Linked DNA regions of Oryzias latipes. The protein of the gene in region 2 purifies or fractionates together with the protein of the main gene of each other region. This does not show direct contact. Links are inferred from orthologs where the notes say so. Each region holds a gene or a part of one and is shown on either strand. Other genes may lie near its edges.

Region 1 (3,652 bases), on a different chromosome or scaffold from region 2:
AAATGACTTTGTAGGTCTTTGTTTGCGTTAATACAAACCAATTGAGATTCTCGCTGTCCGTTTTAAATATATGTGAAAAGAGTTATTGAGCCTGGAAGTTCGACTGTAGCAACCTGTTTTTGGTCGCTTCAAAATAGGGCCAGATTCTGCTGCGTTTTATGGCAGTAAAATGTTGTGATCTGTTCATGATATGCAGACTTCTACTAGAGCATTTACCTATAATAATAATCTTAAAATATATATATATAGCGCTTGTCATAATAAAGAGAATAAAATAAATATCCGATCCCTCCGATTCAGCTTGAGTCTAACACTAGGTGATCGGGCCTGATTTCTGATCACATCTCTAATTTCAATAAAGGATGGAATAGAAGCCTTGCTCAAGGGCTGCATTTTAACTTGGCATTTCAGAAAACAGAAGGAAAAACTTCTTTCTGCTATCACTGTTTCTAAGAGCTTTGATGGGGTGATGAGCATTTGTCCTGAAAGCTTAAGCATTATAAAAGGCTTCTTCAGGTGTCATTGTTGAACACATTTCATGGTAAAACACAATGACATCCATCCGTGCCCATGTTGCCCGGTTCATCTTTCAACCAGCTCTCCTCAAGCATTGCTTTTATTTTGCCTTGTGTGCGTTTCCTCACGTTTGTCCCATCCTCCATGTGACCTAACCTATGTTGGCTTTAGGTTGCTCAAGAGCGATGAGTGTACTGGTGCTAGCCCAGTAATGCTTTAGAAAGCCAAAATGTTGATTGAAGGCTGTTGTTTCTGAAATGTCCATATTGTACATCATCAGTTTAGTTTATTTCACCTGATACTCCTATCCTGTGAGTGCTGGGACATGTTCATGTCTGTTCACCGTTCACCAGCCAACCTTTTGAAGATAGAACTTGATTTACATGAATTCCCTCCCTAAGACTTCAATTGTTTCTGTAAATAATGAGGACAACCTTGTATTGCTTCATAAAAACTACAAACAAATCCTTGTTGTAGCTCAGATGTTTGTAATCTGTGGTTATGAACTCTGGAACTCAGAAAAAGCAAAGGAATGAAGAGAAAGAAGTGCAGGTGGAGAAACCCCAAACTGGTTACCCTCCCTTGCTCTTTGCTCTTCTCTGTCAACCCTCTCCCTCCCTCCCGCAGGTTTGACCAGTACGAGTCCTTCGACTCGCGCACATCTGCTCTCCCCTCCCGAGATCTCTACAGATCTGGTGGCAGTAGCTTTGGTTTTGGGGATGTCCGTGGAGACAGCATGCTGTTGAATCAGCAAGGAGGCTCGACCTTCGGAGGGGGAATGGGGCTGGGAGGAGGAGGAGGAGGCTTTGACAGCCCTTCCTCTGCCTATGGTGTCGCCAAAATGCGACAGAATATGAGGGAGTCCTTCGCCAGTGGCCAAGGAGGAGGTTCTGGAGGTGGAGGATGGGTTGGAGCAAACCGACGTTCCCCCAGAAGGGGTGGAAGTGCTGGGGGTCGAGGAGGGTTTGGGGGCCGCAGGTCTGACCCCACTCCATTAGGTGGAGGTTTGCGGGGAAGTGGCAGCGGTGTTCAGTCCCATGGCGGCTACTCTCCAGGAGGTGGTAGAGGAAAGCTCCCATCCCTCCTGTCCAACCGCATGTACCCTGAGAGCGGGGGCTTCCAGGGTTCTGCTGCAGGGCCTCACGACTTTCCTGGGAGGCATTTTGGAGGGGGCCCAAGGGCTGGCCGCCAACGAGGCCGCAAGAGACCCCTCAACAAAGTAAGTAACTCCAGCCAAATGAAACCTCAGACCCCGGGCAGCAATTATCCCCGTTTTCATTCCCTCCTTTTCTTATACCTGAAACAACAGGCAGGTCAGTCTAAACTCCCTGTTCGTGCCCTTTACCATTAAAAACAAAACAGCCAAATAGGTTAAGAACAATATCTGCTGCACTACAGTTCCATTAAGCCCTCGATTTATTTGGGCTGAAATCACCCGTGGAAGTGCAGTTTTTCTGAGTAAAGCTGAAACACTCCATCCTGTTTTGGGTGAATGATTCAAAGAAAATTTCCCCCAAATTTTCTATTTCTCCAGTTTTTATCAGCTTATGATAGTTGGAATGATTTGATATTTTAATCATCAAAGTTAAAAGCATGTCTATTAAAAATTTAGTGCAATATTTAAATAAGAAAATTTATTGAAGTCAAACGCGAATAAAGACTGAAACTTCTTACTGCCAGAGGTTTAGTTCCACGCTCCAGGTTTAACTTTTGAACGTAGAAATGTATGATTTTGAACTGCAAGTTTGATCATTCTAAGTACAAATTTGATTACTACTTTACTGTAGCAGGTGAAACCGCAGGGCAACTTTCAGAAGAAGAGAAAGAATCCAGCAGAAGCTGATGAGCCAGAGTCAAAGATGAACAGGAAAGAGGATGAAGGGACGGAAACGACACCAGGTGCTTTCTTTGATTCGGCAGCTGCACAACCTCATGAAGCAGCGTCCTCACTGTTCTGATGTTCATGTCATCTGTTCCAGCAGAAGAACCAGAAAAAGCTGATGATGACAAAGCAGAGACGGCAGCCGATGTGAGTTGGCAAATAATTCAATGTTTTTTTTATAGCTTAACATTTGTTTTTGTTTTTTAATTACCTGTCTTCTTTTGTTTTTTACAGGAGACGCAACCCACTGAAGGAGAAGATGTCGGTAGGTTTCACACTGCATCCTTGGACTTTTGTTGGCTTGTGTAAAATATTGGGTATTCCTAACGTGCTTTTGTGATGCTCAGCTGCTCCCAAACAGGAGGAAATGACAAAGCCTCATGGAAAACAGAGCCAAGGACAGGAGAAGTCAAAAAACAGGAAGAGAAGAGGATTCTTGGAAAGGTGAGGTGACCCTTAACCTTTGAAATTCATCTGCTGTCCTTATTGATTTTAGAACCATTCTTACCTTTAACAAGTTCTTGGAACAACTTATGGTGGGAATTTAATAAAAGACTATTTTTTGTTGTTTGTATTTGTTCCCTTAGAGTGATGTTTGCATGTTCCGTGTGCAAGTTTCGCTCCTTCTACAAAGCCGATATGGAAGTTCATCTTGAAAGTCGCTTTCACAAGGAGCACTTTAAGTTCCTTTCCAGTCAGCTGTCCAAGCCCACCACAGACTTCTTACAGGTGACGGAGCCTCTTTTTCCTTTTTTAGATTTATTTATTAAAAAAAAAAAGATTTTATGCAGAATTTAAAACAAATATTAGTTCCATTTGACTGCGGACTGACAGTTACTATTCTCAAAAGTTTATCTTTATCGATAAGGAAATGATCAAAAGTGACATAATTATGGTTCCAGATCAACACTTGAACAATGTGTGGAATGTGTGAACCATACCCTGCTGTTGAGTAAAATTACAGACAAAAAAGAATTCTGATAAACCCATGAAAAATGCTTTGAATTAAATAATAATTTTGGCTCCATGGCATCAGCGAGCAGCTCTAGCTGTGGCTCAGAACTGATTTGATGCTAGCACATGCAGATTGTTGAATTCACAGCAAATGAAATGTCAGAAAGAGGGTGGCTATTCGCACATAATTTTCGACATGCGATTTGAGCTTCAGGTGCTGTGCAGAGATCTTGCAGCAGCGCGATTTCAGCTGCGCAGCGCAATTTGGAACCCGTCTGAACCAAACCTCCCAACAGTACC
Region 2 (3,752 bases):
TACACACATACAGGTAGTGTTTTTCCCGGTTTACTTTCACCCTCCCTCCCAAAAAAAAAAACCCCTTTTCCAGTTACCTCTATTGTGTTTTACCCCAAAACGTGCAGTCTCCGAGGGCAATATTTACTGTAAAGTAGTACTGGCTAGCTGTCACGGGAGCCATGATTAATATGCAGAAAAGTTTTTTTTTTTAACTGTACTCTGCAGGACAAGAGCTTTTATCCATCCACAAGACAGTATTTAACTTTGGGGGTGAAATACAGTCCCCATATTTAATTTTATAGGCGGTTACGCCACTCAAACTCCAATGAAAACAATCAGCTCCAAACCCTGAGTTTGAAGTGTGGATAAAAACTTTATCAGCAGCGTAGCACTGTTTGATGACGTATGGGAACGTGTTAAGGTAGCAGAGCATTAACAAATAAAAGCTGAATTAAACGAAGACCGTGTCTAACATGGCAACTCTACCAGTGGGTAACGGTGATGTTATGTGAGGCCTTATAGTTCCTGTTACAACAGTTAGAGTCTGAAGGCCCTCAGAGGCGAACCGTTTCGCCAATAAGTGAAGTCCAAAGCTATCCTAGTACTCGGTTTCCCTTCGTTTCGAGAGTCCATTTTTGTGTCCGCGTGCGCTCCGTGGAAGTAAATTAACTCCTCGCGCGAGCTAGCAAACACAAGCAAGACATGCTGCAAGCTGCAGCCAGTACGTGCTCACCAAGAGAAGTTCAAAAACTTGGGCTCCGCCATAACTTCAGGAAAAAGTGGCGTCGGTGACATCATCAGGATTTTTTTTTTGCAACGCATTCAAAGAAAAGATGGAGAGAACGTCAGGACTGCTGAAACGGGGGGAGACGTGTATCCGCCGGTTCGGTTGTGTCGAATAATCCTCTGCGTCCGGAGAATGTTGCATTCATATAAAGGTCACAGGCGAGTCTCTTTCACGGAAAACTTTCCTTCTTCCTCGTCTCCCGGTGGTTAAATTGGAACAAAAATGTTGTTCGCATAAAAAGTCAGACTGTACTGAGATTTTTTTTAATTCACCTTTAAAGTCGAACCTCCATTAGTTTCTGCAAGTGCTCCATTATTTACATTGTTTAGATTTGAAGGCGTGCGTCCGCCCGACGCCACGGATTGAAACTAGACCTTGCAGTCAAAACAAGACCTGCAAGCATCGCTCACGCTGACTGCGCAGCTGGAGGACCAGCCGAAGTCCTCCCACTTCTTCGGCTTTATTCGTAAATAATTGAAAAGAAACAGTTTTGTCTGTAATACAGACCTGTGAAGTCATATTTTACACCGGATTTCGTCCATTCTTATCCCCCAGTAAGTGTTCGTTTAGGCTATTTTGCTTCAAAAGCGCATTTATGTTTACTTACGTTTGCAAATCTTTCAGAAAACGCAAAAAGCTAATGGACTTACACCGGAGGTCTTCATTGGTTTACGCTCATGGCTAATAAGTATTTCATTACATTTCCAAGCGCGCCACCTGGTGGCACAGACGGGTTATTGCAACCCTGAAATTTATCTGCTTCTTTGTAGTAAATCTGAGCCAAAACTGACATATTTGGTCTAAAAATATCAATAAACCACAATGTGAAGCCATGTAATATAAATAATCACAATACAAACTGGTATTTTAGCCAAGTAGAACAAAAGAACCACGTCATTACTTGTTCTACCTTTGTAAGATCTTTAACCATAATAATTTCTGGCAAGTAATGTCCATTTATTCTTAAAGCAGTATCATTCTGAAAACATACCAAACTTATCTCACCATGTGATCATCATCTCTGTGACGTCCTGGCCTGAAAGGATCCTCCGAGGTCCCCTTATCCCAGATGGCTCCAGTATCCTCCAAAGCAATGAAGGAGTTTTATCATCATACCAGGCAGTGTGTTGTGTCCTGAGCGCTGGATATCTCCATGAGCAGCTCTTTGCACAGTTTTACCAAGACAATAAAGCCACAAAGCTGTAGGTTTATTCTATACTTTCCCAATAAACACTTTTCATCTGTAACTATCCGTAACTTCACATTTCACCCATCTTCTCCGACAGCAGGCTTTTCTAACCCAATCTCAGAAGTAACTGAAACACAGAAATACTAAACAGTGTTCCAGTGAGGATGGGGCAGGGCTTTGTCATGGGGCTGGCTTTTAAGGTGCTCCAGCCCATATGCAGAACCACAACTCTGTTTTTAGTGACGCTGAATAAAATCCATCATTTTACACAATCCAGATCGATCCATTACAAGTTATTAGACATGATCAGATTTAATAGGATGCAAAAATGAGATATTAGACAAATCAAACGACGAAAGCTTTCCATCCAAATCCACCTTAAGACTGGTGAAAGCGTCTCTTCCACGTATTGATCTAGGAGAGCACTCAGGACAGTTAGCTGAGATGTTTTCAGCTCCTATGACATGTGTACCTTTCAATACTCAAAAATAAATAGAAGACTGATGAAATATTAAAGTTTATTGTTTTACAAACAAACAATGACATAAACTATAGGTTGAATTGACCCATTATTAGTTTAATTCCAGTAAACAGCTTAAGGATCTGTCTTTTTACTTTATTTCTTTAAATTTGGCTTATTTGGAATAAAGATAATTGTAATACAGCTGTTGTTTACAGTCTATTAAAATCGGAGTTATTCAGTTATTTACTTTCACATTTCTCATGTATTTTAATTTTTTTTAATGAAAAAGTGTTAAAATATTTTTTTTAATTCAGCCACTAAAAATCAAACCTCCATGCAATTTCCAAATTGCATGAATGTAGATCCAAAACCAGATTGGTTGACATTAAAAATGTGTTAATTACATAAAGAGTTTCCCCCTTAATTTTAACATGAATTTAGCTTGGCTTCAATTGTATTATGTTTCTCTTAAACTTTAAAGTGCTGCCATGTTTGGTGTTCTTCCTAGCATACGGGCGGTACTCGCACTTCCAGATGTTTTAGATGTCTGAAATGAAGCGAAGAGAAAACGACTAATTTAGCGGAGGAGGGAAAAATATGGACCGTCTCATCTCAACGATTAGCCTATTTGGAGGGGCGGTGTCCAGGCTTCTTGGTCTGTGATTGGTTACTTGGCGAGCACGTAGCCAATCAGAGGGCGAGTTTTTACTGGATACTGTGAATGACAATTCAGGAACTCCTGCCTGCACCGCATGCAGCGCAGAGGAGGAGGCGTAAACAGTGACATAGCTAGGTAGCCATAAAGGTAAGCAATAAAACGGCTTTGCGATATTATAACCGTTTGGTGTTAAAGGTCTTTTGCAACATTTGTATTTATGAATCAAAATGTCAACCAGCGTAGACGTTTGATTAATTTTGTTGTGAATACGGCTTACTGTCAATTTGTTTGCTCTCACTAACTCAGCATCGGCTTCGTAGTCCGGCCTGCTAACGTTAGCACATCACAACGACTTTGGTGAGTGCGCCCTGGCGGGAAATTTCGTTTATACGCAATATTGAATCTGATACTCCTGGAAAAACACTTAGCGCAAGGAACTATCGATAATAACCCCGGATCGGCATCCTTTTACTGGGCAGCGATGATTGATCGTCGACTGAACCGCGTTTCTTGGTCATGAGGTGGTTAGCTGAGCTCGCGTGCGCTAGCCAGCAACGGTCTCGCGAGTGCGCAGAAAAATCAACGTGACTAGGCCGACGCTCATGCTGCCTCAACCTCTGGCATTTCTGTTGCTGTGAGCGCCTAAACGCTTCAGAGCCACATGTTCTGTGTT
Region 3 (3,752 bases), on a different chromosome or scaffold from region 2:
TTATTGTCCGTGGCACTGGTTTAAGCAAGCTGATCCTGCGTGGGTTCTCCATAAAGTGTGGATGGAGTCCTCTGGTTGAACACAACGTGAGCTCTCAGTCTGTGGAGGCACGTGGACGTTAGAACTCGTCGTGCCGAGTCAGAGCTTCTCCAAAGTCGGTTGCCTGACTACCAACAAACAAGTCGTACTTGTCCACGATCTCAGCCTTGGTCAAACGGCCATCCTGGTTGGGGAGGGGGAACATACAAAACATGAACAACCTTGTATCACAACTAAACCTCATTCATTAATTTTCAGACAAAGACACATTTCTGATTTTAAGCACTCACTTTGTCTACATCCGACTCATAAACCAGATGCTTGGCCTCAGCCTCAGCGTGGTCATAGTCACTGGGCAGGATCCAGTCTTTCGTTTCCTCTTTGTCCATCTTCCCGTCTTTATTTTTGTCTCTAAATTCAGTGAATTGCTCCCTTTCAGTCTTCACCCACTCAGGTTCTGTAGTTTCACCATCCTGGTTGTACATGTCACCTAAAGCAAAACATTGTTATGAGGGATGTCCATGTGATTACATCATAATAACCATCTTTTAAAATGATAGAAGCTCACCGATGTATTCATCCAGATCAATAAATCCATCGCCATTTTTGTCAATGTCTTCCATAGTTTCCTAAAATAAAAAATTGGAAAAATTTGGCGGTGAAAAGGCCTGTGGCAAAAGCTACAAGGTTGACGTTTGAGTGTATAACTCACCAACACAACAATATCTTTCATGTGCTCATACTCCTCAGGGTGAAGGAAAGCAGTAAACTCCTCTTTGTTGGCTTTCATGTCATTGTCCTGGTCGGCCATCTTGAATCTCCTCTCATCCCGAGCCATCATCTGTTTGTAGCTGAAGCCGTCATCAGGATCCTGATCATCTGGTGATCAAAAGTCAAGACAAGGCTGTTAAAATGACTGAATTCAATATGCCTGGAATGCAGCAAATGGCAGCAATTTCTTTACTAAATAAAGCACTAAGTGTTTCAGTGTTTTATCTACAGGAAAGGTCATTATTCAAGAAAAGGAGAGAGTAATTGATAACAGAGACTTAAAAGACATTTTGTAGATCAAATATCTGTGTCTAGAACCATACCAAGGACATATCCATATGTGGCATTCTTGTACTCTTCCCAGGACACGAATCCGTCCCCATTAAGGTCATGACTCTTCCACTGGCGATCCACGTCATCATAGATCCACCTTTTTTGTGCATCCTTGATCCACCTCTTCATCTCTTCAGCTGTCACATACCCATCTTTGTCTTCGTCGATGCGATCTACCAACATGCTGCAGATCCAAAAAAAAAAGAGAAATCAAATCAGTCATTGGGATTTTTTTGAATATACAAGTGAAGCAGAGGACATTTGCTCACCCAAGTCTCTCTTTGCTCTCTTCAGGTGTGAGCTGGTCAAAGCTCTTAGCCTCTTCCTGTCCCAGAAAAGCCTCATGGTCATAGTCAAAGTTGTCAGCATCGTCATGTTCTAGGTTGCTCAAAGGTTCGTCGTGATGAACACGGTCTTTCTTCTCTGTGGGCTTGCTGGTGGCATAAACCACACAGAGAGCAAAACACATGACAAGCGGACGCAGCTCCATCCTAGACATGAACGGATGCTGCCTTAACCTGAGGATTAAGAGGGAGGGGGGGGGGGGGGGGGGGGCTCAGTCACTCCATCTTGCATCTTAACTTGTATGATGAATCATGATTGCTAAATATCATGAATGTTAAAGACACAGAGCTTGTTCCTGAAGCATGATTCAGCTATTGCTCAAGCTGATGTAAAGATAATTTGCTTGACTTAGCAGTCAAGTAGTTTGCATCAATTATAGCTTTATGACAAAATTGTAAAGATGAAAAAATACGATATGTGCAGTTTTACTACCCAAAATGTTTTATAGACTTAAGATCAAAATTTCACAGGGTTATAGAGTCTAAAAATAAAAATTCCAGTGTTACAAAAATAACTAAAGATCTTTTCAAATAATTATTAATTTCATTTAAAGTTTTAAAACAATTGCAACTATTGCATTTTCACATCATTTAGAAAAAATATTAATGAAGGTATATAACAGGTTGTTCTATTTAGAAATTAAAGGAACCTTTTTTAGATAGACACAAAACTCAGTTTTTTACCCTCATTTCCGACTGACTAAATTAGAAAAAAAAGACATTTATCCACTTGCTGTTGTCTTTTTATACTTCACTGAAGCATGTATTTACAGGCAGGACCGTTATTTTCCACTGTCCTAACCAAACAAACGCTGGCTGACATTGATAAACGTTCCGCTACTTTCACCATGTCTTCTCTCGCTTTCACGTCTTTCATTAAACGGCTTAATTACAGAAAATGATTTCTAAAACATAAAATCTCGCTAAAGGACCAACTACTATCCTTGGCTAATGTATTTTACGCGATAACTTGCCACAAAAACCCACCTGAGTCGTTGATGAAGTTGGTCGGTAATAATTTAGACCCTCTACTCGGAAACACACCCATGAACTTCCTGTGAAAAAAAAGGGGGCTGACCAATCAGACGCCGAGAAGGCGGGTGTGATGTCGCCGTCTCATTGGTCCAATGCAATCGAGAAACGTTGATTGGATTGGCCGAAAACCGCCACGTCCTCAAAGTCAAAACAGCCCAGTTCATTCATAAAGACTTCTGCTACGATTTTATTTCGTCTGACATGAGTGGAATCCCCTGCTAGAAATGTAAAAATGATCAAATTAGGCATTAATTGAACTATCATAAATCCGGATTTTCCAATTTTGTCATGAAGTTCTTTCTATAATCATTTAGGCTACGAGGCAGCAAGACAGAATAAAATGAAAACTGAAAGAAATTAGAAACAAAAAGAAAGGAATAAAAAAAATCATAAAAGATACAAATGATAAAATTATATTTTTTTAATTTATTACACGTTTCCAGCCAAATATTTAGTAAAATTGTTGAATGCCTTTTATGTCAGTTACTTACCATATTGTTGTCCTCAGTGACTCATGTTATGTTGATAGTTAGTCTATAATTTGAATGCTAAAGAGTGTAAATGTGGACAAAATGTCCTTGTTAAAATATTTTTATTATTGGACTTTAAGCTTTATGAATCAAGTTGGAAAAAAAATATTTAAAAAAGTATGTAAATGCTAATATTCTCTGATGACAACACATATAAAATGTACAACTTCTGCAGGACTTTTTAAAATAAAAGTTAAACAAGATAAGGTTAAATAAAAACAAAACCAATTATAAGAGAACTTGACTTTTCTTTTTAAATAATAGAATGAACATACCTACAATACTAGTATTAATCTCTGCTTGTCAATCAGCAGTCAAGAAACACTACCAATAACATGCAGTCTGTAGAAAAGGGGTTTTATCCAGTGCATTTAAAAAAGTTGTGTAGTCAAACTAATCTAAAATAGAAGTCTTTCCTATACAGGAGAATCTTGATGAATTCAGCCAACAAACAAAAAAGAATTAAAATAAAAACTAAAATCAAGTTAATATTTTGCATTACTACAAAATCTAGTTTATTGAATAAAACAATTTTTTTCTGAGGTTGGGGGAAAAAATTACACAATAGATTGCATTCTATGAAAAATGTGCGAGCTAAAACAAAAATAATATTATAAAAAATAAAGTAACAGAGCCAAAGACAGCTTTTCCTGTTGCCGACTTGCATATAATGTTCTCATTATGGGTTGTCAGTTTCTTG

What was found.
Region 1: the proteins of raf1 (region 2) and A-kinase anchor protein 8-like purify together in Homo sapiens (affinity purification with mass spectrometry; 3 studies listed by BioGRID and IntAct, with this or other methods). This does not show direct contact. The link is inferred for Oryzias latipes from reciprocal best matches to the Homo sapiens genes RAF1 and AKAP8L.
Region 3: the proteins of raf1 (region 2) and calu purify together in Homo sapiens (affinity purification with mass spectrometry; 3 studies listed by BioGRID and IntAct, with this or other methods). This does not show direct contact. The link is inferred for Oryzias latipes from reciprocal best matches to the Homo sapiens genes RAF1 and CALU.

Annotation. Positions count from the first base shown.
Region 1 is NC_019859.2:24,054,363-24,058,014, reverse strand, and holds part of A-kinase anchor protein 8-like, read left to right. Parts: intron 1-1,143; coding exon 1,144-1,735; intron 1,736-2,303; coding exon 2,304-2,415; intron 2,416-2,495; coding exon 2,496-2,545; intron 2,546-2,632; coding exon 2,633-2,663; intron 2,664-2,745; coding exon 2,746-2,842; intron 2,843-2,985; coding exon 2,986-3,127; intron 3,128-3,652. UniProt on the Homo sapiens protein: Could play a role in constitutive transport element (CTE)-mediated gene expression by association with DHX9. Increases CTE-dependent nuclear unspliced mRNA export.
Region 2 is NC_019865.2:17,676,275-17,680,026, reverse strand, and holds the start of raf1 (RAF proto-oncogene serine/threonine-protein kinase), read right to left. Parts: upstream 2,394-3,752; 5' UTR 1,761-2,393; intron 1,460-1,760; exon of another isoform or gene 1,377-1,459; intron 1,302-1,376; exon of another isoform or gene 1,277-1,301; intron 1,233-1,276; exon of another isoform or gene 716-1,232; intron 1-715. UniProt on the Homo sapiens protein: Serine/threonine-protein kinase that acts as a regulatory link between the membrane-associated Ras GTPases and the MAPK/ERK cascade, and this critical regulatory link functions as a switch determining cell fate decisions including proliferation, differentiation, apoptosis, survival and oncogenic transformation.
Region 3 is NC_019864.2:19,379,037-19,382,788, forward strand, and holds the start of calu (calumenin), read right to left. Parts: upstream 2,571-3,752; 5' UTR 2,475-2,570; intron 1,662-2,474; 5' UTR 1,643-1,661; coding exon 1,413-1,642; intron 1,328-1,412; coding exon 1,134-1,327; intron 919-1,133; coding exon 752-918; intron 669-751; coding exon 608-668; intron 530-607; coding exon 330-529; intron 224-329; coding exon 119-223; 3' UTR 1-118. UniProt on the Homo sapiens protein: Involved in regulation of vitamin K-dependent carboxylation of multiple N-terminal glutamate residues. Seems to inhibit gamma-carboxylase GGCX. Binds 7 calcium ions with a low affinity.